Macaca fascicularis: one gene and its partners. Each later gene encodes a partner of the first gene's protein in a complex. Links are inferred from orthologs where the notes say so. Each region holds a gene or a part of one and is shown in the gene's direction. Other genes may lie near its edges. The genes, in order: NUP85, NUP153, E3 SUMO-protein ligase RanBP2, NUP214, CETN3, NUP160 and NUP107.

The links.
Region 2: NUP85 (region 1) and NUP153 share a complex: the UniProt entries of both Homo sapiens proteins name them as parts of the nuclear pore complex. The link is inferred for Macaca fascicularis from reciprocal best matches to the Homo sapiens genes NUP85 and NUP153.
Region 3: NUP85 (region 1) and E3 SUMO-protein ligase RanBP2 share a complex: the UniProt entries of both Homo sapiens proteins name them as parts of the nuclear pore complex. The link is inferred for Macaca fascicularis from reciprocal best matches to the Homo sapiens genes NUP85 and RANBP2.
Region 4: NUP85 (region 1) and NUP214 share a complex: the UniProt entries of both Homo sapiens proteins name them as parts of the nuclear pore complex. The link is inferred for Macaca fascicularis from reciprocal best matches to the Homo sapiens genes NUP85 and NUP214.
Region 5: NUP85 (region 1) and CETN3 share a complex: the UniProt entries of both Homo sapiens proteins name them as parts of the nuclear pore complex. The link is inferred for Macaca fascicularis from reciprocal best matches to the Homo sapiens genes NUP85 and CETN3.
Region 6: NUP85 (region 1) and NUP160 share a complex: the UniProt entries of both Homo sapiens proteins name them as parts of the nuclear pore complex. The link is inferred for Macaca fascicularis from reciprocal best matches to the Homo sapiens genes NUP85 and NUP160.
Region 7: NUP85 (region 1) and NUP107 share a complex: the UniProt entries of both Homo sapiens proteins name them as parts of the nuclear pore complex. The link is inferred for Macaca fascicularis from reciprocal best matches to the Homo sapiens genes NUP85 and NUP107.

What each region holds. Positions count from the first base shown.
Region 1 is NC_088390.1:81,592,305-81,596,487, forward strand, and holds the start of NUP85 (nuclear pore complex protein Nup85), read left to right. Parts: upstream 1-1,383; 5' UTR 1,384-1,459; coding exon 1,460-1,492; intron 1,493-4,115; coding exon 4,116-4,183. UniProt on the Homo sapiens protein: Essential component of the nuclear pore complex (NPC) that seems to be required for NPC assembly and maintenance. As part of the NPC Nup107-160 subcomplex plays a role in RNA export and in tethering NUP96/Nup98 and NUP153 to the nucleus.
Region 2 is NC_088378.1:155,186,264-155,190,488, forward strand, and holds the start of NUP153 (nuclear pore complex protein Nup153), read left to right. Parts: upstream 1-1,425; 5' UTR 1,426-1,960; coding exon 1,961-2,071; intron 2,072-4,225. UniProt on the Homo sapiens protein: Component of the nuclear pore complex (NPC), a complex required for the trafficking across the nuclear envelope. Functions as a scaffolding element in the nuclear phase of the NPC essential for normal nucleocytoplasmic transport of proteins and mRNAs.
Region 3 is NC_088387.1:16,208,322-16,212,392, forward strand, and holds the start of E3 SUMO-protein ligase RanBP2, read left to right. Parts: upstream 1-1,271; 5' UTR 1,272-1,360; coding exon 1,361-1,432; intron 1,433-4,071. UniProt on the Homo sapiens protein: E3 SUMO-protein ligase which facilitates SUMO1 and SUMO2 conjugation by UBE2I. Involved in transport factor (Ran-GTP, karyopherin)-mediated protein import via the F-G repeat-containing domain which acts as a docking site for substrates.
Region 4 is NC_088389.1:12,731,381-12,735,597, reverse strand, and holds the start of NUP214 (nuclear pore complex protein Nup214), read left to right. Parts: upstream 1-1,417; 5' UTR 1,418-1,536; coding exon 1,537-1,581; intron 1,582-3,145; exon of another isoform or gene 3,146-3,247; intron 3,248-3,678; coding exon 3,679-3,874; intron 3,875-4,217. UniProt on the Homo sapiens protein: Part of the nuclear pore complex. Has a critical role in nucleocytoplasmic transport.
Region 5 is NC_088380.1:94,405,614-94,409,682, reverse strand, and holds the start of CETN3 (centrin-3), read left to right. Parts: upstream 1-1,269; 5' UTR 1,270-1,395; coding exon 1,396-1,412; intron 1,413-3,235; coding exon 3,236-3,371; intron 3,372-4,069. UniProt on the Homo sapiens protein: Plays a fundamental role in microtubule-organizing center structure and function. As a component of the TREX-2 complex, involved in the export of mRNAs to the cytoplasm through the nuclear pores.
Region 6 is NC_088388.1:18,015,863-18,019,362, forward strand, and holds part of NUP160 (nuclear pore complex protein Nup160), read left to right. Parts: intron 1-1,766; coding exon 1,767-1,850; intron 1,851-2,142; coding exon 2,143-2,313; intron 2,314-3,500. UniProt on the Homo sapiens protein: Functions as a component of the nuclear pore complex (NPC). Involved in poly(A)+ RNA transport.
Region 7 is NC_088385.1:75,480,293-75,483,792, forward strand, and holds part of NUP107 (nuclear pore complex protein Nup107), read left to right. Parts: intron 1-797; coding exon 798-888; intron 889-1,034; coding exon 1,035-1,111; intron 1,112-2,558; coding exon 2,559-2,618; intron 2,619-3,287; coding exon 3,288-3,433; intron 3,434-3,500. UniProt on the Homo sapiens protein: Plays a role in the nuclear pore complex (NPC) assembly and/or maintenance. Required for the assembly of peripheral proteins into the NPC. May anchor NUP62 to the NPC. Involved in nephrogenesis.

The sequences.
Region 1 (4,183 bases):
GCTAATTTTTCTTTTTTTTTTTTTGGTCACCCAGACTTGAGTGCAGTGGCACGATCTCGGCCGACTGCAACCTCTGCCTCCTGGGTTCAAACGATTCTCTTGCCTCAGGTGTCCGCCACCACGCCCAGCTAATTTTGTAATTTTAGTGGAGATAGGGTTTCTCCCTGTTGGTCAGGCTGATCTCGAACTCCCAACCTCAGGTGATCCACCCACCTCGACCTCCCAAAGTGCTGGGATTACAGGCGTGAGCCACCGCGCCCGGCCTAAATTTTGTATGTTTAGTAGAGATGGGGGTTTCCCCATATTGGCCACGCTGGTCTCGAACTCCTGAACTTGTGATCCACCCGCCTCGGCTTCCCAAAGTTTGGGGATTACAGGCGTGAGGCACCGCACCCTGCCCAAGCCCGGCTAATTTTTAAAATATTTTTAGTAGTGACGAGGTTTCATCATATTGGCCAGGCTGGTCTTGAACACCTGACCTCCAGTGATCCGCCCATCTCGGGCTGCCGAAGTGCTGGGATTAGAGGCTTGAGAAGCCTCTAATCCTTCAGGAGCATCGATTTTGTCCCCGTGCCTCTTTTTTTTTTTTTTTTTTTTTGAGACGGAGTCTCGCTCTGTCGCCCAGGCTGGAGTGCAGTGGCACAATCTCGGCTCACTGCAAGCTCCGCCTCCCGGGTTCACGCCATTCTCCGGCCTCAGCCTCCCGAGTAGCTGGGACTACAGGCGCCCGCCACTGCGCCCGGCTAATTTTTTATATTTTTAGTAGAGACGGGGTTTCACCATGGTCTCGATCTCCTGACCTTGTGATCCGCCCGCCTCAGCCTTCCAAAGTGCTGGGATTACAGGCGTGAGCCACCGCGCCCGGCCTCCCGTGCCTCTTGTGTGTGTTCTAGTGTGGGAGTGACGGCGACTGCTTTCCAGCACAAGCCCATTTGACTGTTTGGGTTTGGACAAGTGGCTGCTACGACACTAAGGTGGAGATAAGGATGGAGCGAGGACTCCCAGAGTTGGGAAAGCTTGCAGGTTTACTGGGACCTCAGTCCGGCACAAGTTCCCACCCAGGTGCCGCCGCCCCAGCCTACGCACGCGCAGTCGCACCGTCTCTGGCCAAGGGTTCCTCCTGCCCCGCCCGCCCTCTCCGGGGGCCTTCTCTCCGCTCGGCACCAGGGTGTCCGCGGCGCCGCCTGATCCCGTTAGCGCGGTACTGTGAGTGCAGTCCGTCCTCGGCGCTGTTTTCCCTGACTTGCTGTCGACGCCAGGAAGGAAGGACGCGCGCAGAGGACCGCAGAGGGGTGGCCGTGGCTGAGGGAAGAGAGCGCCGCAGCACTGAAGGTTTGGGCTTGCAGGCGCTGCAGGAGGCGCCCAGGCGGGGTCCTGTCTCTCAGGCAGCTCTGAGCGGGAGGCCTGAGCCGGAAGCATTGACGTCCCGGCGACTTCCCAGAGCCTGGGGTTCGGCGCTATGGAGGAGCTCGATGGCGAGCCAGCAGTCACTGTAAGGGCACCCCGAACAGGCTTGATCGCCCTTGTGGGTTGAGAACTGCGTCTGCTTCGTTACTTCAGGCTTGTCTGCTTCCCTACTGGCCGCGAGGCTCTCGTCCCCTTCCCTTGATTCAGTTGCCACTTTCCGGAGGTCGCAGTGTTAACTAGGTGCCCGACCTCGGGTCGTAGTGGTCGCGGGGTTTCTGCCACCAGTCACAAAGCCAGGCCTCGAAGGTCCCAGTCCGTCCCTTTCCTTCTTTTGTCTTGCTGACCTTTCTACTTCCCTCGCATTTCCTCTTGGGTATTAGAGTGGGTTCAGCCCAAGCAGAGGAATTTATGTTTTTCTTCCAGCCATATTAAGCTCTGCATCGCGGCACGTTGAGTTTCTGCTTGTGTGACCTAAGGTTTATTAAACGTATTATCTCAGGAGACTATTCATATTTTATCGCTGTGCATTCAATTCCATTTGAACTTTGAAGAGAGTATGTCAACTGTGGATGATCTGTGATGTGTATAAAAAAAATTCATGGACTTTATGTGCGACATACCTACCGTTTCTGCTACTTGGAATGCTTTTGTTTTCCCTCTTTCTCTTGTTAACCGCTGACTGAGGCAGGTCTCAACCGATAAAGGTTTATTTAGCTAAGGTTGAGGATCCAACCGGGAAAAAACACAGGTCCCAGGAGGATCTGAGACTTGTGCTTTTTCCAGAGATGGTTTTGGGAACATCAGTAGTTAAAGAGGAAGGAACTAGCAGGAGGGGCAAAAAAGGGAGGTTAGGCAGTGAGGAGGCAAATGGTTACATTCTTGTGAGTCTCTGATTAGCCTCAGTAAATCTGCATTTTACCTGTGAAAAGAGGGAGTAGAGGAAAAATTTATGTATGCATTTATCTCAGGGTAGGTAGAGGGATGGTTTCATTTCTTTTTTTTTTTTTTTCTGAGACGGAATCTCGCTCTGTTGCCCAGGCTGGAGTGCAGTGGCGCCCCTCTGGGCTCACTGCAAGCTCGGCCTCCTGGGTTCACACCATTCTCCTGCCTCAGCCTCCCCCAGTAGTTGGGACTACAGGCGCCCACCACCACGCCCGGCTAATTTTGTTTTGTATTTTTAGTAGAGACGGGATTTCACCGTGTTAGCCAGGATGGTCTGGATCTCCTGACCTCGTGATTTGCCCACCTCGGCCTCCCAAAGTGCTGGGATTACAAGTGTGAGCCACTGCGGCTGGCCTCTTTCTTTTTTTGAGACGGAGTCTCACTTTGTCACCAAGGGTGGAGTGCAGTGGCGCCATCTCAGCTCACTGCAACCTCTGGCTCCCAGGTTCAAGCGATTCTTCTACCTCACCCTCCTGAGTAGCTGAGATTACAGGTGCGTGCCACCACACCCAGCTAATTTTTATATTTTTGGTAGAGATGGGGTTTCACCATCTTGGTCAGGCTGGTCTTGAACTCCTGACCTCGTGATCCGCCTACCTCAGCCTCCCAAAGTGTTGGGATTACAGGCGTGAGCCACCACACCTGGCTAGGAGTTCGAGGCCAGCCTGGCCAACATGGCGAAACCCCGTCTCTACTAAAAAAAGTACAAAAATTAACCTAGCGTGGTGGCGCATGCCTGTAATCCCACCTACTCAAGAAGCTGAGGCAGGAGAATCGCTTGAACACAGGAGGCAGAGGTTGCAGTGAGCGGAGATCGTGAGATCGCGTCACTGCACTCCAGCCTGGGCAACAAGAGTTCGAACTCCTGGCCGGGCGCGGTGGCTCAAGCCTGTAATCCCAGCACTTTGGGAGGCCAAGACGGGCGGATCACAAGGTCAGGAGATCGAGACCATCCTGGCTAACACGGTGAAACCCCGTCTCTACTAAAAACACAAAAAATTAGCCGGGCGAGGTGGCGGCGCCTGTGGTCCCAGCTACTCGGGAGGCTGAGGCAGGAGAATGGCGGGAACCCGGGAGGCGGAGCTTGCAGTGAGCTGAGATCTGGCCACTGCACTCCAGCCTGGGCGACAGAGCGAGACTCCGTCTCAAAAAAAAAAAAAAAAAAAAAAAAAGAGTTCGAACTCCTGACCTCAGATGATCTGCCCGCCTCAGCCTCCCAAAGTGCTGGGATTACAGGTGGGAGCCACTGTGCCCAGCACAAAATGAATTTTTCTTACTAGTGTTATAAGAAAATGTTATTGAAGGATACAATGTTATTACAGGACCAGCTGTGCTCTTCACTTAAAGTGTTTTTCAGCCAGGCTGGCATGGTGGAAAGTGTTTTTCAGCCAGGCGGGCACGGTGGCTCACGCCTGTAGTCCTAGCACTTTGGGAGGCTGAGGCGGGTGGATCACCTGAGCTCGGGAGTTTGTAACCAGCCTGGGCAATATGGTGAAACTCCGTTTCTACTAAAAATGAAAAAAAAAAAAAAAAGCCGGGTACGGTTGCACACATCTATAGTCCCAGCTACTCAGGAGGTTGAGGCAGTAGAAGACCTTGAACCCAGGAGGCGGAGATTGGAGTGAGCTGAGATTGTGCCACTGTACACCAGGCTGGGAGACAGAGTGAGTCGTTGTCTCAAAAAAAAAAAAAAAAAAAAAAAGAATAGAACGACTTCAGTAAGAAGAACATTCTTCATTTTAGATTTCTATGTCTTATTTTACTAGGTGATTCCAGGTGTGAATTCCAAGAAGAACCAAATGTGTTTTGACTGGGGTCCAGGGGAGATGCTAGT
Region 2 (4,225 bases), on another chromosome or scaffold:
AAAAAAAAGAAAGAAAGAAACAGGATCAGTAACTTCCCAAAGGTTACACAGCTAGTAAGTGGCAGATTTACAGTAAATTGACTGGGAGTGGTGGCTCACACCGGTAATCCCAGCACTTTGGGAGGCCAAGGTGGGTGGATCACTTGAGGTCAGCAGTTCGAGACCAGCCTGGCCAACATGGCGAAACTCCATCTCTACTAAAAATACACAAATTAGCTGGGCGTGGTGGTGCACACCTGTAGTCCTAGCTGTTTAGGTAGCCGAGGCAGGAGAATCACTTGAACCTGGGAGGCAGAGGTTGCAGTGGGCCAAGGTTGCACCACCGCATTCCAGCCTGGGCTACAGGGCAAGACTGTCTCTCAAAAAAAAAAAAGAAAGAAAGAAAGAAAAAATAAGCTTTATAGTAAGTCTAAGATTTTTCACAATAGATTTTTCCTCCCTAATCATTTGGCTATTTGTCTTTAACTCTTACAGAAAAGTTGGGTTATAGTCCTGGCTTTGATTACCCATCTCAGTGTCATTGATTGTGCCACCTAAATTTCTCTGGACCTCTTGTCTGGTTGGTTGAATGAGAGGGTTGGACTATGTGATCACCAGGGCCTTTCTAATCGTCAACTCCTAGAATATATATTTTGTGGATTCAGTCTTTGAGTCTAGTTCACTTACTCAGTTTCCTAAATACAATGCCTTCTATTTGGAGCAAATACGGTATACTTTTATTAGTAAGGATGTATCTATCACTTACCTCTAATGTTAGCTGACTGTATGGGTTAAAATTGTAATCATTCATTGCATTTTTCGCCTATTAGTAAATATACATGCTCTCCATAGATGATCACGTCTGCCTCTCACAACAGCTTTATAAAACTCCCATTTTATGGAGGAGGAAGCTAAGGCTCAGACGGTTTTGATTCATCCAAGGTCAAATAGGTTGGGTGGCGGAACCAGAATTCCAGCCCCGTGTGTCTGGCAACAAAGCCTTTATATGTTTAAATAAACATTAATGAAGTCGTATATATTTTCTAATTCTAAGGACCATGGACATTGTTTTTCAACCACAGATTTTTTTCCTCCTTCTTAAATCATTAGCTCTTTGATTTTACTATCTGCTTACTTCCTGCCCACTTAACCAACCGACAGGGAGAAGGAGAGTGGGAAGAAGTTACTGTTTTTATGTTAAGTGCCTTTTCAGAGTCTAATTTACAACCAAGAACGGCAAAAGTACCCCTTGGCTTTGTGCCTCTGCGGCGCTCCGGGGATCTCCTTCCCCGTCCCTCTCCCTTTCCGAGAATCCGCGTTCCGTTGTTGAACTACGTTTCCCAGCGTGCCGCGCGGCCGAGAGAGTGGACTCCATCAGTCCTTCCTCTTTGCCTACCAGCTCGTCGTAGCATGATGATGCAAATGCGTCGGGCGCCTGTGAGTGACGACATTCTGGCTCGCGACCGCGGCAGCCGCCTTAGCCGCGGTAATAGGCGCAACGGCGGCGGAGGCTGCAGGGACGACGACGACGGCGGGGCGGGCGCTGTGCGCACAGGGGAGGGGTAGGCGGGCGGCGCCAGCGGCTTCAACTGCGGCAGCTAAGGCTAGGGCGACGGAAGAATCCCCACCAGTCGGCGGTCGAGTTAGGCCTCAGCACCGCCGGGAGCTGTTCGTGCTGTCCTCTGCGGGAGATCTCCATAGAGACCGTGACATACACAGAGGCGGGGGTCCGCAGAGGCGGCGGGACCGGAGCCTCCTCGGCCTCTGCGGCCGCCACCCCCTTCCCCGCTGCCAGCACTCACCCTCTCTCCGCTCCTGCTCGCAACCTCGCGGTTCCTGGGGTGCTTGTGCCCACTGTGTGGACAGCTCGGGCGGACTTTTGGGCCGGGGCCGGGCGGCGGGGGGGGCGCTCTAAGGCCTCCGCCTCTGCCTCTCCCGCCCCCTTACCCGCCCCGGAGCGGGAAGCGGCGGAGGCTCCGCCATGGCCTCGGGAGCCGGAGGAGTCGGAGGGGGCGGTGGCGGCAAGATCCGGACGCGGCGTTGCCACCAGGGGCCAATTAAGCCTTACCAGCAGGGGCGACAACAGCATCAGGTATGGGACCCCGACGCCGCGGTGGCCTGGCGGGTGGGGAAACTCGGCTGGAGGGGACGGGCGGTTCGAGGCCCCGGCGCCCCACGTGGAGCAGACAGGAGGGCCTGAGGAAAGGCCCGAGTGAGGCTTCGGGGGAGCTCAGGCCGTTGGGGGTGGCGACGGGAAGTGGGCTGAGACAGGCCCAGCCTTGCGGCGCACACGTGTGGTTTGGGCCGCCTTTCCCCCAACCCTCTGGGTCAGGGGTTTTCCCAGGCAGGCTCTGGGCGGGAAAAGAAATTGTAGGCCCAGGATGCGCGCGTTTCTTTCTTTTTTGGCGGGGATTTGGAGTTTGAGGGTATTACTCACGTCCTCTCGAGGGAGAAAGGAAAAGTTGTGGTTGATTGCCCTTGTTGTTTTCTGGTGTCCCTCCTTTAGTGTGTGTGTGGGGAGTGGGCTGCCCCGAGGAATCTTAACTCTGGGGCAGACGGGGAGTTGTGGGGGGCGCTGTTACATGGAAAGTGGAATAACTTAGTCTCAGCCTATGAATTAATTCTCGGTTTCCCCTGCCGGTGTTCCTCCTCGTCTTGAGAGCATTGGCTTAGGTTTTCTTAACCGGGTTATAGTTAACCGTGGCACTGGGGCATTTTGAAAGTCCCTCTCCACCCTTACGTCTTTTCTCTGCTGCGCGACTCCCCCCCCCACCCCCGCTTTTATTTTGGAGGCTGGAATTGGCCATTCTCCACAGTTGACCAGGACTCCAGCTCTGATCTCATACACAAAATATTTTAATATTATGAGGCGTATTCTAGAAGTTTAGTTACTTTTGACGCTCCAGGAATGTTGGTGATCTTATAGTTTAGCCAGTGTATGAATTCGTGGATGTTTAAAATTATAAAAAAAGATTATCGTAATTGTAAATGAGGTAGTTGATTCTGAGAAAATTCCATTTTTAAAATAATTGGTTGTTAGAAGGATTGAATAGGAAAATGTTAACTTATTTTAATAAAGCCACTTAAAAATTTATCAATGATACTGAGGTGGGAAGTGTGTGTTTTAAATTTGTTGAAAAACAAAAGTGTAGCAAAAGGATCTGATAACTTGTTGCCTACTGTTAAAGGTAGACTTCCTAGATTACTTTATTCTGGATGCTAATAAATATTACACACTTTCACATGGTTGATGTTGTTAAATTGTGTCATTATCAACAGATTTGTAAAAGTATGGGTCGGGCGCCTTGGCTCACGCCTGCAATCCCAGCACTTAAGGAGGCCAAGGCGGGGGGATCACGAGGTCAGGAGATGGAGACTATCCTGGCTAACACGGTGAAACCCCGTCTGTACTAAAAATATAAAAAAATTAGCCGGGCGTGGTGGCGGGTGCCTGTAGTCCCAGCTACTCGGGAGGCTGAGGCAGGAGAGTAGCGTGAACCCTGGAGGCGGAGCTTGCAGTGAGCCGAGATCGCGCCACTGCACTCCAGCCTGGGCGACAGAGCCAGACTCCGTCTGGGGCGGGGCGGGGGGGAAGGTAAAGATTTGAGGACTTTTTTTTTTAAGTTTTCTTAAATGTTTTTTATTTTGAGGGAAATGTTTGAGTAGTGAAAATCGTGGCTCAGGTATTTTAAGTCGTTCTCTACTGATGGTTAGGTTTGGCATTGTTATTACTTCTACCAATTTTCCCCGAGATATATATGTAAAGTACTTAGTTTTCAAATTTGTGAAGAACAGGGGTATTTGCAAGCAGATTTAAGATTAGAATTCAGGTCACAAGCCTGGCCATTTAACCTAATCCTTCTATAGAATGGAAGTTAGACATGCATGCTTTCTTTTCTCCTATGAATGCCTTTGAGTGCTTAGATTTTCTTGTATGACATGTATAGAAAAATGACGTGTTTTAAATATAGGTCATTGGATGGTCTGGATAGAGGTTAGAAGGGAATTAATATTTTCCAAATGTCTGAAGTTATCACAGCTTATTTTGAAATGTACTTAGATAAAATAAAAATCTAATTTTGGGGAGACGATGCCTTAACAGCATAATACCTATGATCCAAGGTGTCTTAGAGTTGATATGGCTTCAGGCTGTGTAGTTTTGTTTTAAATCTTGATAGTTTATCATTGCCCCTTATCTAAAATACTTTTGCTTCTTGCTCTGGCTATTTAATTAAAAAAGAAAACA
Region 3 (4,071 bases), on another chromosome or scaffold:
GGGCTTTCGCCATGTTGGCCAGGCTGGTCTCGAACTCCTGATCTCAGGTGATCCGCCTGCCTCAGCCTCCCAAAGTGCTGGGATTACAGGCGTGAGCCACCGCGCCCAGCGGAATGCGTGGGTTTTGGCATAAACCGGTGGTTCTGGAACCAATCCCCCGCCAAGGGATGACTTTAAAAAATTGTAATTGTCCAAAACTTAGTATTTGTGGCCTACTTTTTCATTATGCAATTCTAAATTTTTTTTTTTTTTTTTGAGACGGAGTCTCGCTCTGTAGCCCAGGCTGGAGTGCAGTGGCCGGATCTCAGCTCACTGCAAGCTCCGCCTCCCGGGTTCACGCCATTCTCCGGCCTCAGCCTCCCGAGTAGCTGGGACTACAAGCGCTGCCACCTCGCCCGGCTAGTTTTTGTATTTCTTAGTAGAGACGGGGTTTCACCGTGTTAGCCAGGATGGTCTCGATCTCCTGACCTCGTGATCCGCCCATCTCGGCCTCCCAAAGTGCTGGGATTACAGGCTTGAGCCACCGCGCCCAGCCAATTTTTTTTTTTTTTTTAAATTCAGACGGAGTCTTGCTTTGTCGCCCAAGCGGAGGGCAGTGGCGCAATCTCTGCTCACTGCAACCTCCGCTTCCCAGGTTCAAGCGATTCTCCAGCCTCAGCCTCCCGAGTAGCTGGGACTACAGGTGCGTGCGACCCCGTCCCGCTGATTTTTTTTTTTTTTTTTTTTTTTGTATTTTTAGTAGAGATGGGGTTTCACTGGGTTAACCAGGATGGTCTCGATTTCCTGACCTCATGATCCGGCCGCCTCGGCCTCCCAAAGTGCTGGGATTACAGGCGTGAGTCACCACGCCCGGCCCTCATTTCTTTTAATAAATACGAATTTTAAAATGTATACTTTAGTATTCACACGTCCGATGCAACGTATTTAACCAGTCATCTCCAGAAACGTTGTTCCAATTTACACGCTCACCAACTTGGCCTGAGTGCTTTTTTCTTCCAATGCGTGGCGCACTTATAATTTAGAACAAGCGACCAAAACGCTTAAGAGCCCATCACGCAAATTGTTATCTGCTGGAAATCTACCCCCACGCTGTGGACGCGGGGGCCGAAATCTGATCCCGGCTTCCCAAGACACCGCTCAGAACCCAGGGAGCTACCAAGAGCCCGGCTGTGTGCAGCTCTAGCGCCGACGTCGCCAACGTGGCGCACAGTGCTGACGCAGTACGCAAGTTCGTCGGGATGGTCCTCCGCCGGCGACGTCGCTGCGTCACTGGTTTGCAGGCGCTTTCCTCTTGGAAGTTGCGACTGCTGCGGGGCTGAGCGCTGGTCTCCCGCGCCTCGGGAGCCAGGTTGGCGGCGCGATGAGGCGCAGCAAGGCCGACGTGGAGCGGTACATCGCCTCGGTGCAGGGCTCCGCCCCGTCGCCTCGAGAGGTGAGTGGATCTCGAAGAGACCGACGGCTTCGACCTGGCCGGGCGGCGGCCTCGCGAGGCTCGGGCGTCATGGCTCCCGACGGGCGCTGCTCCCTGGCGCGCACTGTTGAGGCGCCGGCCGGCTAGCGCGGTCCTGTGGGCGGCGTGGCGCTGGCAAGCGCAGGGAGAGCCCTGGGGGGACCGCTGTGGGCGGGAGACCGTTGGCGCCGGCGCTTCCTCTTTCTCCCGGCCTGTTCCCGACGGTCCTCGCTCGTGGGCCCGCCCTGGCCCGGGCTTTCTGGCCGGTCGCGCGCCGCGTAGTACCCGCGCGGCCTAGTTCTCGGGGGGCTTGGGCACCCGGGTGCTATGTCGGCGGGATTCTTCCCATCCCCCGGACATTTTACGTGTTGCGGCGGAGGTCGTACCTCCTTGGCCTGGGGGAACCCAGTGGGGACTGACGCAGCTCCCGGGTGCGCTTTGGCGGCTGTGACGAGTGACAACGTAGGGATCTCAGCGCGAACGTTTGCAACGGCCCGACGGCGCAAATGACACGCGAAGTCCCCTTGTTTTGAGTATGAGATGTTTGTCGCTGTCCCTTTATAAGGGTCCAGCTCCACTCCTCATACTCACCTCCCCCACCCCCAGAACAGTTTGGTAGGTGCTTTTGCTTTAAAAAAAAAAATTATAAATTTCTTATAAATCGTTAGTATGGCTTACAATTTTTAACCTTTTCCACAAATGTTCTTAGGATATTTTTCCTCTTTATAGGTAAATAATGTGATCTGTTTTGGATTCAGTAAGACTTTAGCAATTGGATCTAAAGAGTGACGGAAGAAGCTATTAAAGGTGGATGTGCACAGAATGTTGAGTCAGTTTGCTTTGGCTTGAATAATCAGCCCTGTCGTTCATAAGCTGGGTATTTGGGGCCAGTTGCACTTTCCATCCATAGGTGGAGTTGTAACATTGATAGAATTTGATAGGATCCATTTTAAACATTTAGGGTTGTGCTTGATACATAGCACTGAATGTTAGCTACAAGTCACTGTTTTTATTGTTGATGTTAAAAGGATATTGGCGGGGCCCGGTGGCTCACGCCTGTAATCCCACCACTTTGGGAGTCCAAGGAGGGCGGATTGCCTGAGGTCAGGAGTTCGAGACCAACCTGGCTAACATGTTGAAACACCGTCTCTACTAAAAATCCAAAAAAAAAAAAAAAAAAAAAAGCCGGGCGTGGTGGCGCACGCTCGTAGTCCCAGGTACTCCGGAGGCTGAGGCAGGAGAGTCGCTTGAACCTGGCAGGCGGAGGTTCCAGTGAGCCGATATCGTGCCACTGCTCTCCAGCTTGGGCGACAGAGGGAGACTCCATCAAAAATAAAAATTAAAAACAAAAAAACCAAAAAAACAAACGGAAACTCACGGATGACCATGATTATAATAGCAGCACAATTGTGTCTTTTATCATAACTAAGTGTAGGTTATCTTATTTTGTGCTTCCAGCAGCCCTGTGGATATTGAGACCTGTAGAGATTAAAGATACCTGTTCAGGGTCAAATAGGAAGTGCAGCAGAATTTTGGCAGTGGTTCTGATTTAGTTTCTCTTGGGAACAGTGGAGTAAGTTACAGCCTGTTCCTCCAGAGAGGAGGAATAGATACCTACTTGTACATTGTAATTTCAAACTGCTGGCGTAGTCATAAATATGAACGTGGTGATAGAGTCTAAAACAGACCTTATTGAGGGTTCCAGTAACTCCTGAAATTAAAGACTTTAATTTTTATGGTTTTTTTTTTTTGAGGTGGGGTCTCACTCACTCTTGTCACCCAGCTGGATGCAGTGGCGCTATCTCGACTCACTGCAACTTGCGCCTCCCCAGCTCAAGCGGTCCTCCCACCTCAGTCTCCCGAGTAGTTGGTACCACAGGTGCACCCACCACACCGGCTTGTTTTTTTTTTGTTTTGTTTTGTATTTTTGGTAGAGACTGGATTTCACCATGTTGCCCAGGCTGTTCTCGAACTCCTGGGCTCAAGTGATTTCCCTGCCTCCACCTCCCAAAGTGTTGGGATTCCAGGCGTGAGCCACTGCAACATCCATTATTTTATTTTTGAGACAAGGTCTCTTTCTATCTCCCAGGCTGGAGTGCTGTGGCGGGATCATGGCTCACTGTAGCGTTGACGTCCTGGACTCAATCCATTCTCCCACCTTAGCCTCCTGGGTAGCTGAGACTACAGGCATGCCAGCTACAGGCATGCACCACCATGCCCGGCTAACTTTTTTCTTTAATGTAGAGACGGGGTCTTACTATGTTACCCAGGCTGGTCTCCAACTCCTGGGCTCGAGTGATCCTCCCGCCTTGGCCCCAGGTGCTGAGATTACAGGTGTGAGCCACTCTGCTCAGCCTGTTTTTTTTTTTTTTTTTTTAAACAAGCTTAAAAAAAAAAAAAAGCAAGCTTAGAGCCTTTCTGAGATTCTTAGGGGGGACCTTGGCTTCCAAAAGATTAAAAACCACTGGTCTAGACAGAAGTTAGAATGTTCTTTCAACTACATAACTTTTCCATTAAATAAAGTGGAGTGGTGGCAAAATTTTGAGGATTCATTGTTATGACCACTTCTCTCTTTACACTTAAAGAATATTTTTTTTCCCCCAAACAAATTGAAAGTCATT
Region 4 (4,217 bases), on another chromosome or scaffold:
AGGACTGTAATATCATCAGTCAGCCTTATCCAGACAATCTCAGTTCTTATCCTGTCACTACCACTTTCTGACTGAGGGCCACCGGAGAAATTTCTCAACTTCCCCTGTGCTTCCCTTACCTCAACAATTATTATTATGTATGTGGATGTGTATATATACACATATATATCTTTTTTTTTTTTTTTTTTTTTTTTCCTGAGACGGTCTCACTCTGTCACCCAGGCTGGAGTGCAGTGGCGCAATCTTAGCTCACTGCAACCTCCACCTCTCGGGTTCATGCCATTCTCCTACCTCAGCCTCCTGTGTAGCTGGGACCACAGGCGTCCACCACCACGCCCGGCTAATTGTATTTTTAGCAGAGGTGGGGTTTCACCATGTTTGCCAGGCTGGTCTCCAGCTCCTGACAGGTGTTCCACCTACCTCAACCTCCCAAAGTGCTGCGTACAGGTGTGAGCCACCGCGCCCAGCCCATTTTTATTTTTTGAGGCAGGGTGTGGCTCTGTTACCCAGGCTGGAGTGCAGTGGTACAATCACAGCTTACTGCAGCCTCGACCTCCTGGGCTCAAGCAATTCTCCCATCTCAGCCTCCTGAGTGTGCTGAGACTACATGCGCATGCCATCACTGCTGGTTAATTTTTGTGGTTTTGTTTTGTTGTTTTTTGTAGAGACGGGGTCTCGCCATGTTGCCCAGGCTGGTCTCAAACTCCTGGGCTCAAGCAATCCTCCTGTCTCGGCCTCCCAAGTGCTGGGATTATAGGCGTGAGCCACCGGCGCCTGGCCTACCTCATCAATTAAATAATAACCCCTAGGATGACTAGAAGTCTTCAAGATTACATGAGATCCCACATCTGAAGGTTTTTGCAAAGGACGTGGCACAAACTCGTGCAACTAGAGATGCATATGGCTCTTGCTCTGGAAATGATCACCTTGATAAGAGCAAACAAAGCTGGTCTTCCGTGCCCTTTAATCTCCCCTTCCAGCCTTCCACCTTCCACACTGGCGATCCCCCGACCCCGTTTTTCTGAACCTCCCTTCCTCCCCTTGCATAGCCCAAAGCCTCTCTCTAAAGTAGCCCACCGAAAACATCTGTCAAGTTCCTAACTTATCTGAATCGGAAGCTACTAATAGCCAACCTACATCTAAGAGGAACTGTAAGGTGTCAGAGGAACAAGGAGCATAGGTCGCTTAGACGTGGGCCACCCAAGAAGACAGATTGACACTAAGCGAACCCGCGCTGTCTGCGAAGGCGGGAGCGGCACCAGGACGATCCAGGGCGCAGGCGCCGGGGCCCCACGGCCACGCCCCTATTCAGCACGAGTTGGCCAATGGGGAGCGGCGGCCGGGAGAACGCGCGGCTTCTTTAGGTTCCGCTGCCTCCCCGGCCAAGCTTGACGTCACCAACGCGCGCCGGAAATGCGAGATCAACTGCGCGCCCCTGGCGCTGAGGGAAGGAAGTTTGCAGTCCAGCGGCCTAGGTTCTGTGGGCAAGGCCGTGGGAGGCAGCGTTGGCTGCTTCGACACACCGAGGGCGGCGCGATGGGAGACGAGATGGATGCCATGATTCCCGAGCGGGAGATGAAGGTCAGAGACTAACTGGGGCCTCCCTCCCTTCTTTAGTCCTGGCGTTGCCTTGGAGCCCAGCTGAAAGGCGAAGCGCGGTGCCGGCTGTCCCGTCTCCTGCTTGAACAGACTACCGCGTTCACCGCTCTCAGCTGCGCGTCTGCCGCGCCGCTGGCGTGATAGCCCCACCGAATGCAGTTTCCCAGTCCCATCCTGGTCTCGTGCACGTCTCTTGAGTTACCCTAGCTAGTTTCATGTGGCGGTCACAATAGTGGCAATAACTGCTGTGTATGGAGCGTTGACTGTGTGCCAGTCGCTGTGTAGTCATCGCAGCAGCCCTACGAAGTGGTTATTAACGTAGAGGAGTGAGTCGAGGCTCGGAAAGTGATTTCCCTAAAGTCACATTTGACAGCGGGGCTGAAAGCCAGCATCATTTAAGACCTTCGCTCTGCCAGTATTTCTGTAAGGCGGTACGGGCTTGCCTAACGTAGAGTCAGGGGAGGTCATCCATCCTGCAGAACCTTTAGTTGACTGAACTAGGAAGACTGTTTTGATATCGGTGTATCAGCCTCAAACCAGGAACCTAAAGGGAGGGCTAAGTGTTTCCAGTGATGGCAACGTGGGAGTCCCCCAGGGATAACTTCAGGATGGTGTGTTTAATAGTTCTTATATGTGTTCTGACAGAATGAGGGTGCAGCAAACGGCCTACATCTGTTTTAAATAGTGAAAGGAAGTAAGATGCAGGAAGATTTTAGTCATCTGTGTGAACAGTAAATCACTAACATGCATGTAGGGCATAGTAATACATACCCTGTTTAGAATAGTGATTTTTTTTTTTTTTTTTTTTTTTTTTTTTTTGAGACAGAGTCTCGCTCTGTCGCCCGGGCTGGAGTGCAGTGGCCGGATCTCAGCTCACTGCAAGCTCCGCCTCCTGGGTTCACGCCATTCTCCTGCCTCAGCCTCCCGAGTAGCTGGGACTACAGGCGCCCGCCACCGCGCCCGGCTAATTTTTTGTATTTTTTAGTAGAGACGGGGTTTCACCGTGTTAGCCAGGATGGTCTCGATCTCCTGACCTCGTGATCCGCCCGTCTCGGCCTCCCAAAGTGCTGGGATTACAGGCTTGAGCCACCGCGCCCGGCCTTTTTTTTTTTTTTTTTTTTTAAGACATAGTCTCGCTCTGTCACCCAGGCTGGAGTGCAGTGGCATGATCTCGGCTCGCTGCAACCTCCACCTCCCCAGCTCAAGCGATTCGCCTGCCTCAGCCTCCCGAGTAACTGGGATTACAGGCACCTGCCACCATGCCTGACTAATTTTTTATATTCTTTGGTAGAGATGGGGTTTCACCATGTTGGCCAGGCTGGTCTCAAACTCCTGACCTCAAGTGATCTGCCCTCCTCTGGCTCCCAAAGTGCTGGGATTACAGGTGTGAGCCACCGTGTCGGCCTAGAATAGTGATTATTTTTTGAGAATCACCACCTGTGGTGAGCCACCTAATGGGATTGTGTCATATTCCTCAGATATACTGGGGTAGAAGAAAAAAAGGGTTTATTAATAGAATCACAGACTTAGAAGATGGTAATCTCAGACTCCCTTTGGCAGCACATATAAAATTGGGATCATGCAGAGAAGACTAGCATGGCCCCTTTACATGGATGACACACAAATTCGTGAAGTGTTCCATGTCAGAAAACATTGAAGGCCGAGCGGAGTGGCTCACGCCTGTGAGCCTGCACTTTGGGAGGCTGAGGCGGATGGGTGACTTGAGGTCCGGAGTTCGAGACCAGCCTGGCCAACATAATGAAACCCTGTCTCTACTAAAAATACAAAAATTAGCCGGGCATGGTGGTGGGCGTCTGTAGTCCCAGCTACTTGGGAGGCTGAGGCAGGAGAATTGCTTGAACCTGGAAGGCAGAGGTTACAGTGAAGCAAGATCGCCCACTGCACTCCAGCCTGGGCGACAAAGCGAGACTCCGTCTCAAAAAAGAAAAAAAGACAACTGAGACAGACCGTGTTCTCAGTAATATATATTTTTGTTGTACTGAAATTGGGTCTACTGAATATAACTTGTTTTAATTTCTTTATTTATTGAATTGATCTTGTTTTGATTCTTCACAACAGGATTTTCAGTTTAGGGCGCTAAAGAAGGTGAGAATCTTTGACTCCCCTGAGGAATTGCCCAAGGAACGCTCGAGTCTGCTTGCTGTGTCCAACAAATATGGTCTGGTCTTTGCTGGTGGGGCCAGTGGCTTGCAGATTTTTCCTACTAAAAATCTTCTTATTCAAAATAAACCCGGAGATGATCCCAATAAAATAGGTAAGTTCCGTGGTTTATGTTGCAAAGTAGAGAGAGGAGTGTGGTGGCATGCTCTTGTGTTTCCTTCCCAAGAAGTCATTCTAATACTAAAATGAACACTGCTGTCAGTTTGAAGGTTGACTCCCAAGAAGATTAATGGAAGCCTTTCTAGGTTTTCTCCTTGGTCCTTTGTACTTTTCCTTACATGAGTTGTTCTTCTCAGCTCAAGAGGGAAGAACTTAACCATTATGCCATACTTTTATTCTTGCCCAGTTGAACTTGGGCTCTGGCTCTCTGGGTGAAGGGTTTTATTGGCATGGGTTTTCAGTTGGCACAACAGTACGATCCAAACTATTGGCAATGT
Region 5 (4,069 bases), on another chromosome or scaffold:
ACAATTTCTCTTTCCTTTTAGACTCAAAGGTGATTTATAAAGGTACTTTAAAATTTAAAATACGAACAAAATAAAAGTTCCGCTTTTGTTTTTTAGGGGTGCTATCCCTTAGCTAATTTTTAGCTTGTTCTATCATACTATCTTTACTTGTGCAAATTTAGCCCATCCTTGTAGGTCTAACGTTTATGCCACCTCTTTAGGAAGCCTATCTTGTGCTCTCTCCCTTCTCTAAAATTTTATATACATCCCTTAAACATATGTTTACATATTCTCCGCCTTCAACTCCCATTCTCAGGCTATTTTATTCCCGTTTATGAGATTTGCTGTTTAGCTCAGTATTTTGTGGGTTTTCAAAAGATTCCACTCAATTTACCGAGCACCTATGCACCAGACATTTTATTAGGTACAAGGAAAAGCGTTAAATAGATATAATCACGGCCTTCAAGAAATTGAACCTGGTAAGGGAGACGAATAAGTAGACATTCAAGTGAGCTTTAGGAGACTTGGTTTGGTAGTGAATACAGTCTCACGTGTATTAACAATTTACAGCACCGTAAAATAAGAGACAGAAGCCAACAAATCCGTTTCAAACAGTTCAAAGGAGGAAAAGGAGAGGGAAGGGCGGTTTAGATACAGCATCACCATAAATAGCCTGATAATCTAACCCTGTGATAATCCAAGTATAGTCACAGCACCTGCCTCAGAATCACTTGGAAGGCTTGTGAGGAATACAAACGCAGATTCATACCTACTGAAATTAGAATGGAGAAAGGGGCATTTAAGTCTGCATTTTAAACACATTCCCCAGGTACTGAAGCCATCCAAAGTTTTAGAACAGAGCACAGCCACGCTTCGCAGACCTTGTTCCTCAACTACTGCCTCCTTCTAGCCGGAGGGTGGCCTGCAGCGTGTCCCTTCCCTTCCCACCGTCCAAGTTATCCATCTAGTTTTCGAACGTCGGCCCACAGACCGCAGGACAATACGCGAGAGACTAGGAGCACCCACCACGCAAACCACCACACAGGGATCGGAGGCCGGACCCGCAAAGGATTCGGGGAAAAAGGCATCAGGCCAATCCGAAGGGCGAGAGCGGCCCTAGGAATGGAGGGGCGGGGTGGGTGGCGGGGGGGGGGGGGGGCGGGGAGAGAGAGGTTTTTTTTTTTTCTTGATTGACGTAAAGCGTACCCAATGAAAATAAAATTGGTAAAGCTTCCGCCATAATGGGCAGAACCATAGCGACATTTCAACCAATCCAGCTCAAAAGTGTCTATGTTGTGGGAGGTCCCTGAGGCCGCTGAGGTCGTTCGTGTCTGTTGAACGGTTGTGGGAGTCTTGCTGCTTTGGGTAGGGGGTTAAAATCGTTTCTTGAGAGGAACGACTCTATCCGAAGAGATAATGAGTTTAGCTCTGAGGTCGGTAATAAGGAGGCGGCAGTGCTCTCCACACCCCGGAGCGGGACCTAGGGAGGGTGTGTGTGGAAGGGAGGCCGTTTGGGGCCGTGGCGAGGCAGGGGATGCTGTTTGGGATGCGGGAAAGGAGCCTAGGGCAGCCTGTCTGGATCACTCACCCTCTGGGCTCTGGTGCCCTGCAGGGAACGAGACTTCCAGTGCATTTCTACTAAGGAGGTTATTTCTGTCAGCGCGTAGGGCTTTGGACTACCAAAAAAATGGGCTTAGTTGCGAGCGAGGGGGAGGGAATGAAATATCGCGAGGCTTCTACTCTGTTGCTCTGAGAGATCAGGCCGCGGAACATCCCTTCATTCAATTCGTATGCCTGGCCAGGGCCCCACCTCCGCTGCTCTGCTGCTGATGCAATCATCCACCTATAAATTTTGGAAATAACAAAAAACTCTTTGCTATTCTCCCAAGGTCCTGCTTTACGGTGTAATTAGAAACCCATTTTAGTGACTAATTGGCAAACTGTCTCTTGGATTTCCTGTTTCTTTCATTTCTTTACCTTTCAGTTCTAACCTCTAACCCTCTGTCTGTTACCCGCTCCCCCTACGTAGACGTTGTACCGTAAAACTATACATATACTTAGGACACTCTAAAAATGTTCCATGTTCTGCTAAGGGATAATCATGGTACCCTTGGATGGGGTCAGGGGTGGGTCGGTTCTGGACTTGGCCTCTAAAAGTCTCAGGAAGGAAAAGACTGACCCCAGGAATACCCAAGTTTGTGTCAAGTCAGGTCTCATGAAAGGAAGATCTTCCTCAGCTTTGTCATACTGCATCTACTGGTCACTTCCTAGCCTTTTTTTTTTTTTTTTTGTAGCGTTCAGAGACCAAAACGACTTTCAAATGCAGCTAGATACGTGTTTTAAATACAGTCAACTGGTTTTGACATGTTAATGTGTTACCAGATTGTGTGTTTCAAAACTTGTTCTTATACCAGTGTTGCGGCTCCATTGGAAAACTTGGAGCACATTTAGATGGGCAGCTCTTACGGAAAACATTTCTGGCTTTAAAGTAATTTTTGCTTTTTTCTTTAAGCGTTTCCAGAGTTTATGAGAAGTTTAACCTCCAGTTTACATCTTAAGTGAGATAAGACTTATGAAGCACAAATATTGTATACTTTTTTGACATCTAATATTTGTCATATGTTTAGACTCATTAATATTTTGGGTGATTTGTTAATATCAGTGGAGGAAATGACACATAAATTGCCAAACTGTTAGAAACGTGTAATCTAAAAACATTTTGAACCAACAGTCCCAAAATATAAGTTAATCCAGTTGTATTTTTTGTAGTAATTTTATGAACTTAATTATCAGAACTATCAAAAGTAAACCGATATATGGTGATTGTCAGTTACGAATTTTGGTTTCATTTGGAGATTTTTTGGTTTCTTTAACATTCTTGTAGAATAATGTGAGTGTTTTTGTTTTTTTTTTGGTTGGAGTTGGTTGGAGTTTCAGACATAAACGTAATGTTGCTTATTCACAGTTCTTGAATAAATAAAAAGTTAGGGAAAGTGGGAATAAATAAAAAGCTGGGAAAAGGAAAAGTTTGGTCCTCATTTCTTTTAATAATCTGTAACACTCTTTAGTTTTGGGAAGTTCATATTTATAGCAATTTAGACTATGGAATAAACAGGGCATTGACTCATAAAGGGAAAGTTTCCCTGTCTTTCTCCAAAGTACTTTCTTTTTTGAAATTTAGAAAATAATTATTGGCTAATTTCTGTTAGTAAAGAGAATTAAAGTGGACTAAGGGCTTTTTCTTTCCATTTCATAGAAGTGAGCTTGTAGTAGACAAAACAAAGAGGAAAAAAAGAAGAGAACTGTCTGAGGAACAGAAACAAGAAATTAAAGATGCTTTTGAACTATTTGATACAGACAAAGATGAAGCAATAGATTATCATGAATTAAAGGTAATGGTATACTTTAAAATACTTGTTTCTGTGTTAAAATGATTTGCATTTTGACAGTTGCTTTACATTACATTTCTAAGTAATTATTTTAACTAAATTGGTTTTGGAACTATGAAGGCATTTTAAGCATTCATAGTTAGATTCTATAATAATACTGAATAGAACTCCTAACACAGTTTTTAGAAAATCTTTTTCACGTGATAAAACGAATAGCATTTTAAATGTAACAATACATTCCTAGGGAAGGTGCTTATTTTTCACTGACATAATTAAAGGATTTCAAACTGGAATTTAAACTATTACCATATTCTTTTCACTGTTTTTTTTGTTTTTGTTTTTGTTTCTTGGTGACTCATACTGTTTTCAGATTGTGGGATTGTTGTCTTTTAATCTTATAATTTGTATTTGTTAGTAACATAGTCTCAATCCACTTTCTGTGGTACAGACAACTTCAGTGCTGTTTGATGTTGACACATGCTAGTAGGTAAAAATGTCAACTTTAAGACCTAGAATGTCAAGGTGTAGAGAGGGATTTGTAAATTATTATTTGTCAGGGTATAAGGAGAGATTTGGGTTTAGGGTTGAGTGGGACTTACTTTCAGCACAGTGGGAAAGATAGTATTTTGAGATTTTTAATAGCCTTAATGGATAGGTGAATGTAAGTGTTTATTTGATAGTTTTAATTTTTGTAATTTCTT
Region 6 (3,500 bases), on another chromosome or scaffold:
AATCCCAGCATGACACATGCTGGAGTTAAAAAGAGAAACCTCTACCTACAGTATTGTAAAAAGATACCATACTACACTGCATACTTAAAGTGCTTTTTTGTTTAGTTTTGGTTATACTGTTCTAACCTTTTTATTAGGACAGTGAAGGTCTGACTTGGTTCAAATTCAAGAAACTCTTGGCCGGGCGTGGTGGCTCACGCCTGTAATCCCAGCACTTTGGGAGGCCGAGGCAGGTGGATCACGAGGTCAAGAGATCAAGACCATCCTGGCTAACATGGTGAAACCCCATCTCTACTAAAAATACAAAAATTAGCCGGGCGTGGTGGCGCGTGCCTGTAGTCCCAGCTACTCAGGAGGCTGAAGCAGGAGAATCTCTTGAACCCAGGAGGCAGAGGTTGCAGTGAGCCGAGATTGCACCACTACACTCCAGCCTGGTGGCAGAGTGAGACTCCGTCTCAAAAAAAAAAAAGATAAAGGCTTTTAGCTTCAAATTCATAGTATAAGAGAAGCCCAGTGCTTTACAAAAAGATTCTTTGGCCAACAGTGGTGACTCACACCTATAATCCCAAAACCTTGGGAGACTGAAGCAGGAAGATCACTTGAGCCCAGGAGTTTGAGAGCAGCCTGGGCAACAGAGGGAGACCCCATCTCTGAAGAAAAAAGAAAAATAGCCAGGTGGTATGCACCAGTGGTCCCAGCTACTCAGGAGCCCTAGGTTGGAGGACAGCTTTAGCCCAGGAAGTAGAGGGTACGGTGAGCCTTGATCATGCCACTGCATTCCAGCCTGGGAAACAGAGTGAGACCCTGTCTTTAAGAAAAAAAAAACAGAAAGGGTTTTTTAAGGTTACGCAGGCTTCTGGCCAGATGCAGTGGCTCATACCTGTAATCTCAGCACTTTGGAAGGCCAAGGGGGTGATTTGCTTGAGCTCAGGAGTTCAAGACCAGCCTGGGTAACATGGCAAGATTCCCATCTCTTTTAAAACAACAAAAAAGTTATATAGACTTTTTTTTTTTTCTTTGAGGCAGAGTCTTGCTCTGTTGCCCAGGCTGGAGTATAGTGGCACGATCTTGGTTCACTGCAACCTCCACCTCTTGGGTTCAAGTGATTTTCCTGCCTCAGCCTCTCGAGTAGCTGGGACTACAGACACATGCCACCACACCCCACTAATTTTTGTAGTTTTTAGTAGATACAAGGTTTCGTCATATTGGCCAGGCTTGTCTCAAACTCCTGGCCTCAGATGATCCACCCGCCTTGGCCTCCCAAAGGGCTGGGATGACAGGCATAAGCCACTGCACCCAGCCTGCATAGGCTTCTTTACATTACTACTTAGCTTCATGGATGGATTTAAAATACAATAACTCATATAATTGAAAGTTATATTAGAATCTTCTAGTCTGACCTCCCACATAAAACAGAAATGCCTTCTGAGGCTTTTGTGATAGTTAATTCAGCCTTTAATTGTCTCTACCTCCACTGACCACTGTCTCACTACCTCTTGTGGGAGTTATTATTCCCAAAGTGTATCATTGAAAAGGAAGCCTCTCTTCTATAAATCAACCTTTCAGGTGTTTTAAGAATCTTTCCAGGTCATCTTTCTCCAGACTAAATACGCGCAGTTTCTTAACTTTCTCTCAGGTGATGTGTGTTCCACGTATGCCAGATCTCTATTATATAGTTTTACATTGCCTCCATGTCTTCTAAACTGAAATATTTTTCATTCAGTTTTGGCTATTATATAGAAGTCTAAAATGTCTTTTAATGTTAGATTTTCTGCCGAGGAACTGAGAGGAATTTGGATCTTTCCTGGAGTGAACTGAAGAAGGAAGTTACTTTAGCTGTTGAAAATGAGGTGAGGTTTGGGTAGAGAAAGAGTAAGAATTCCTTCCATCTTGATATAGAGCAGATTGGCACTGAGGAATTATTGGAATTCTTCACTTGACCTTGTTCGTTGGAAGTACAAATGTTTTAAACCTTTTAACTAGAGAATCAGATATGCATTTGCGTATTCTATGGCCTTTTATACGTAAGGAATATTCATTTGGCTGTAGCTTAGTATAATGATATTGGACAATTACACTTTTTGTGGACAAAGATCCTAAATGGCATCAAAAGTTTAATTTCTTTCATTTCTTCTTTGCCAGCTTCAAGGAAGTGTAACAGAGTATGAATTCTCCCAGGAGGAGTTTCGAAATTTACAACAAGAATTCTGGTGCAAGTTCTATGCCTGTTGTCTTCAGTATCAAGAAGCCCTCTCTCATCCTCTTGCCCTACATTTGAATCCACACACAAACATGGTGTGCCTGCTGAAAAAAGTAAGCGAACTGAGGCATGGAGAAGACCTTCTTGAGACAGTTCAGTGGCTGTTGTAATAAAATGCCTTCAGAAAACAAAAAGTTCAGTGGGTCTTGCCCAGTGTTAGTCTGCCGAATGTTGCGGTTAGCCTTTACGACTTTGCATTTGTATTTTTTCCCCTAAAATTGTGATTCATTCATTTAAATAGTTTTCTGTGTTATTATCTGTACTTTTTTTGTATTTTATTGTATTTATTTTCTTTTTTTTTTTTGAGTTGGAGTCTTGCTGTGTCACCCAGGCTGGAGTGCAGTGGCATGATCTCAGCTCACTGCAACCTCTGCAACCGGGGTTCAAGCACTTCTCCTGTCTCAGCCTCCTGAGTAGCTGGGACTACAGGTGCACGCCATCATGCCCAACTAATTTTTGTATTTTTAGTAGAGACGAGGTTTCACCATATTGGTCAGGCTGGTCTTGAACTCCTGACCTTAGGTGATTCACCTGCCTCGGCCTCCCAAAGTGTTGGGATTACAGGTGTGAGCCACCACACCTGGCCTGTTTACTTTTTGTATTGAAGTAATTTCCAACTTAAGGTAGGAGTTGCAAGAGTAACACAAAGAATTCCTGTATGCACTTCACCTGGATTCATCATTTGTTAACTTCCATTTGCTTTTCTTCTTTCTCTAAACATAGTTTTTCCTGAACTGCTGAAAAGTTAGTTGTAGATATCACGCTCCTTTATCCTTAAATATCCTTAAATATTTCAGCATGTATCTAAGAACACGGATATTAAATAACCACAGCCCAATTTAAAAATCAGATTATTTGATATTGACATAATATTATACAGTTTATATTCAAATTTTGCCAAATATAATATATATAGTTTATATTCAGATTTTGCCAATTGTGCCCATAATTTTTTTTCCTGATCCAGAATCCAATTTTTTTTTTGTTTTTGAGAGGAGTCTTCTCTGTCTCCCAGACTAGAGTCCAGTGGTGCAATCTCTGCTTACTGCAACCTCCGCCTCCTGAGTTCAGGCGATTCTCCTGCCTAGCCTCCAGAGTATCTGGGATTACAGGCATGCGCCACCACGCCTGGCTAATTTTGTATTTTTAGTGGAGATGGAGTTTCGCCATGTTGGCCAGGCTGGTCTCAAACTCCTGGCCTCAGGTGATCCGCCCGTCTTGGCCTCCAAAAGCCCAGGAT
Region 7 (3,500 bases), on another chromosome or scaffold:
ACTGTTTTTGTAGTAGTTTTTCATAAATCAGAGGTCATCAACCTCTTTAACCCCATTTGTTTCTAGCAGAATTAAATGCCAGTGGGTGCCGTGGGAACCTATTGTTAAGCCTAAAGTCAAATAGAAAAGGGATTTTTTAGAAATAAAAACAGGGCCAGGTATGGTGGCTCACACCTGTAATCCCAACACGTTGGGAGGTTGAGGTGGGGGGGATCCCTTCAGTCCAGAAGTTCGAGACCAGCCTGGGCAATATAATGAGACTCTGTCTCTGCAAAAAATTTTTAAAAAGAAAGAAAAATAAAGGCAGAAGCCACAGAAAGACATACATATGTTTTAAAAATAGAATACCATTATTTATTATTTATTTATTTATTTAATTTATTTTTTTTTTTTGAGACAGGGTCTCACTCTGTCACCCAGGCTGGAGTGCAGTGGCGCAATCTTGGCTCACTGCAACCTCTGCCTCCTGGGTTCAAGTGATGCTCCTGCCTCAGCCTCCCAAGTAGCTGGGATTACAGGTGCCTGCCACTACGCCGGGCTAGTTTTTCTATTTTCAGTAGAGATGGGGTTTCACCATGTTGGCCAGGCTGACCTGGAACTCCTGACCTCAGGTGATGCACTTGCCTTGGCCTCCCAAAGTGTTGGGATTACAGGCGTGAGCCACCGCACCCAGCCAGAATGCCATTATTAACTGCCTACATCCATCCCTTGTAACATTTGTTCCATAAGTTATCTAAACTTGTCATATATTGGTTATACTTGGTTATTGTACTGACTGCTTTTTCTTGTTTCTTAAGGCACAACGACTCTGTAAACGCTGTGGTCAAGCATGGAGAGCTGCAACACTTGAAGGCTGGAAACTGTACCATGACCCTAATGTTAATGGAGGTATTTTAGTAGATTTTATATTGACAGTTGAGGACAAAGGCATTTCGCTCTAAATGCCAATCTTTGTGAACTATAGCTTCTCTTTTTAGAAAGGATTGTAATAAGGTTTCATTTTAAACCAGAAATTTTCTTTTACTGTTTTATAGGAACAGAATTAGAACCTGTTGAAGGGAATCCATATAGACGCATTTGGAAAATAAGTTGCTGGAGAATGGCAGAAGATGTAAGATAAATAAAATATTCAGTGATACTGTTTTTAACTCCAATTAATTGAAAGCCTATTCAGGGGCTATGAAACGTTGAAAGTAGTGTAAAACTGGTTTTCAAAGAACTTCCAATTAAATTGAGGAATAGGCTGAACAACTTATCAGAATTATTAAAACACTATGTACTAAGAATTAAGCATTGATATAAGGCAGAAATGTAAAGGAGGTACCAAATGAATTTAGAGAAAAAGTATTGGACTAAAGCTTAAAGCTGGCTTCCCTAAGGAAAGAATTGAATTGAACTTTTAAAACTTAGTAGGATTTGCGTTTTGGGGAATGAAAAACAAGAGGAAGGAATTCTAGGTAGGATACATAGATTGGGAAACTCAAAGTAAGGTAGGTCTACCAGGTTGGAGTAGAATGCTCATAAAGGAAATACTGTCAGTTCTGTTGTAACATGACATAGGTATTCAAAGTCACCACAATGTGCAGCATTGTACGAAAACCCCATAGGACTTAACAGGAAAATGGAGTTAAGAGAAAAATACTCAAAAACTTCATTAGTGATACGTAAAATAATAAAAAGTTAATAAAAATGGTAGCACAGTTTTACATCTGTCAAACAGTTTAAAAAATACATAAATACTACAATAAATATGGCACTTTACCTTGAAAAAGGCCCAAAGTTTGCTTGTGGAATTGGCTGTCAGGGTGGTAGAAGCTTTAGCGCAGATAGCAGAAGTGTTTTTGAGAAGATCAGCCTGGCAATGGAAAAATATACTTAAAATTAGATGGACAAAAGGCTGAGAAAGTAGTTAGGAGCCTGTCAGAATTATTTGGACACTAAGTCATAAGGGTCTGACCTAGGATAGTATTGATGGGAATGGAAAGGAAGGAAGGGACACTGGTTAGGAGCAGTGATTAGAAACAGAAGGCAGAGGTGGACTCAGTTATGCAGTAAGAGTCTCTGAAGTCTCTTGTTTGGATGATAAGAAAACTGGAAATACCAAAAGTAAAATGGGGAATTAGTTCTACATAGAAATTAGATGCAAACTAATGCATGCCTTGTTTTGATGTTGTACATAGGTCAGTATCAGAGAGTATCAGGTCAATATCAGAGAGTATCAGGTATTGAGAAACATTCTAGGAGAAAATAATATATAGGTTGTTTCTGGAATAAAATTTGATTTTAAATATTCAAAGCATCCACTAGAGTTGGATTTGCTTTCACCCGATATTTGGCATTTAAATGTTTTACTTTTTTTCTCCAGATCTCAGCATTGATTATTTCATCACACTGAAGTTCTTCCTTGTTATTACCCCACTAGATCTTTCACTAAAGTTTAAAAACTATCAGGTGAATAGGTTCAGTCTAGAAGAGATTGCAAGACTCCACATTATGAGGAAAATTGACATACTAAGAAAAACAGTATTTCAAATTTGTTTATGTTCATTGTGTTTTAGGAGCTTTTTAATAGATACGAGAGAGCAATTTATGCAGCTTTAAGTGGGAATCTTAAGCAGGTATGCAATCTGTTTTAATGTTTAAATTTTTTCTGTGGAATAAAATTAAATAGATGAAATATTCTAACAATTGTATATAACAAATATAAACTTAAGTGTATATACTTAAGTATGTATGTACATACTTAAGTGTAGCAATGATAGAGATAATCATGAATCAGATAGTGACTCGTTGTGCTTAATTTGATGTATCCCATAACATACATGGTGTTTTAATGAATGAAATCAGATTTCAGTTTTTAACTAAGAATTGTAAACTTAACTCCAACACACATTTATTGATGACTTAAAATACTCATAGCTGTATGCAGAAATGTGCCAGAAAGGCACAGTGAGTCCTTGGGTTATCTTACATACGCATGTTTTTCTCACAACCCAATACTCCCTACATATTATAGCTATCTTTAGGGATACTACACTAATCAGTTGAAATGTCATATGAGCCTGGAAAACATGTTGTTGTTAACAGTATGAAAAAATCTGAACAGTTCAAACATCTTACAAGATGTAGTTGGCAGGGGAAAGCTTATTTGGCATAATTTTTTTTTAAATCCGCCATGTTTTATATCATTATAAAGTGATTTTATAGTCTGTATCATTGGATGTAATTGATTTTCCTTTCTTTTCTGTTGAATGTCTATATGTTTCTGTTTTGTAATGGGGAAAAAGCTGCTTCCTGTCTGTGACACCTGGGAAGACACAGTTTGGGCCTACTTCCGGGTGATGGTGGACAGTCTGGTAGAACAGGAGATCCAGACATCAGTAGTAACTCTGGATGAAACTGAAGAACTCCCTAGAGAATATCTGGAAGCAAAGTGAGTTTGTTGGATTGTTTTGAGTCATGGTGATTTGTAGCATGCTCTTTGATGTTTCATTTTACAG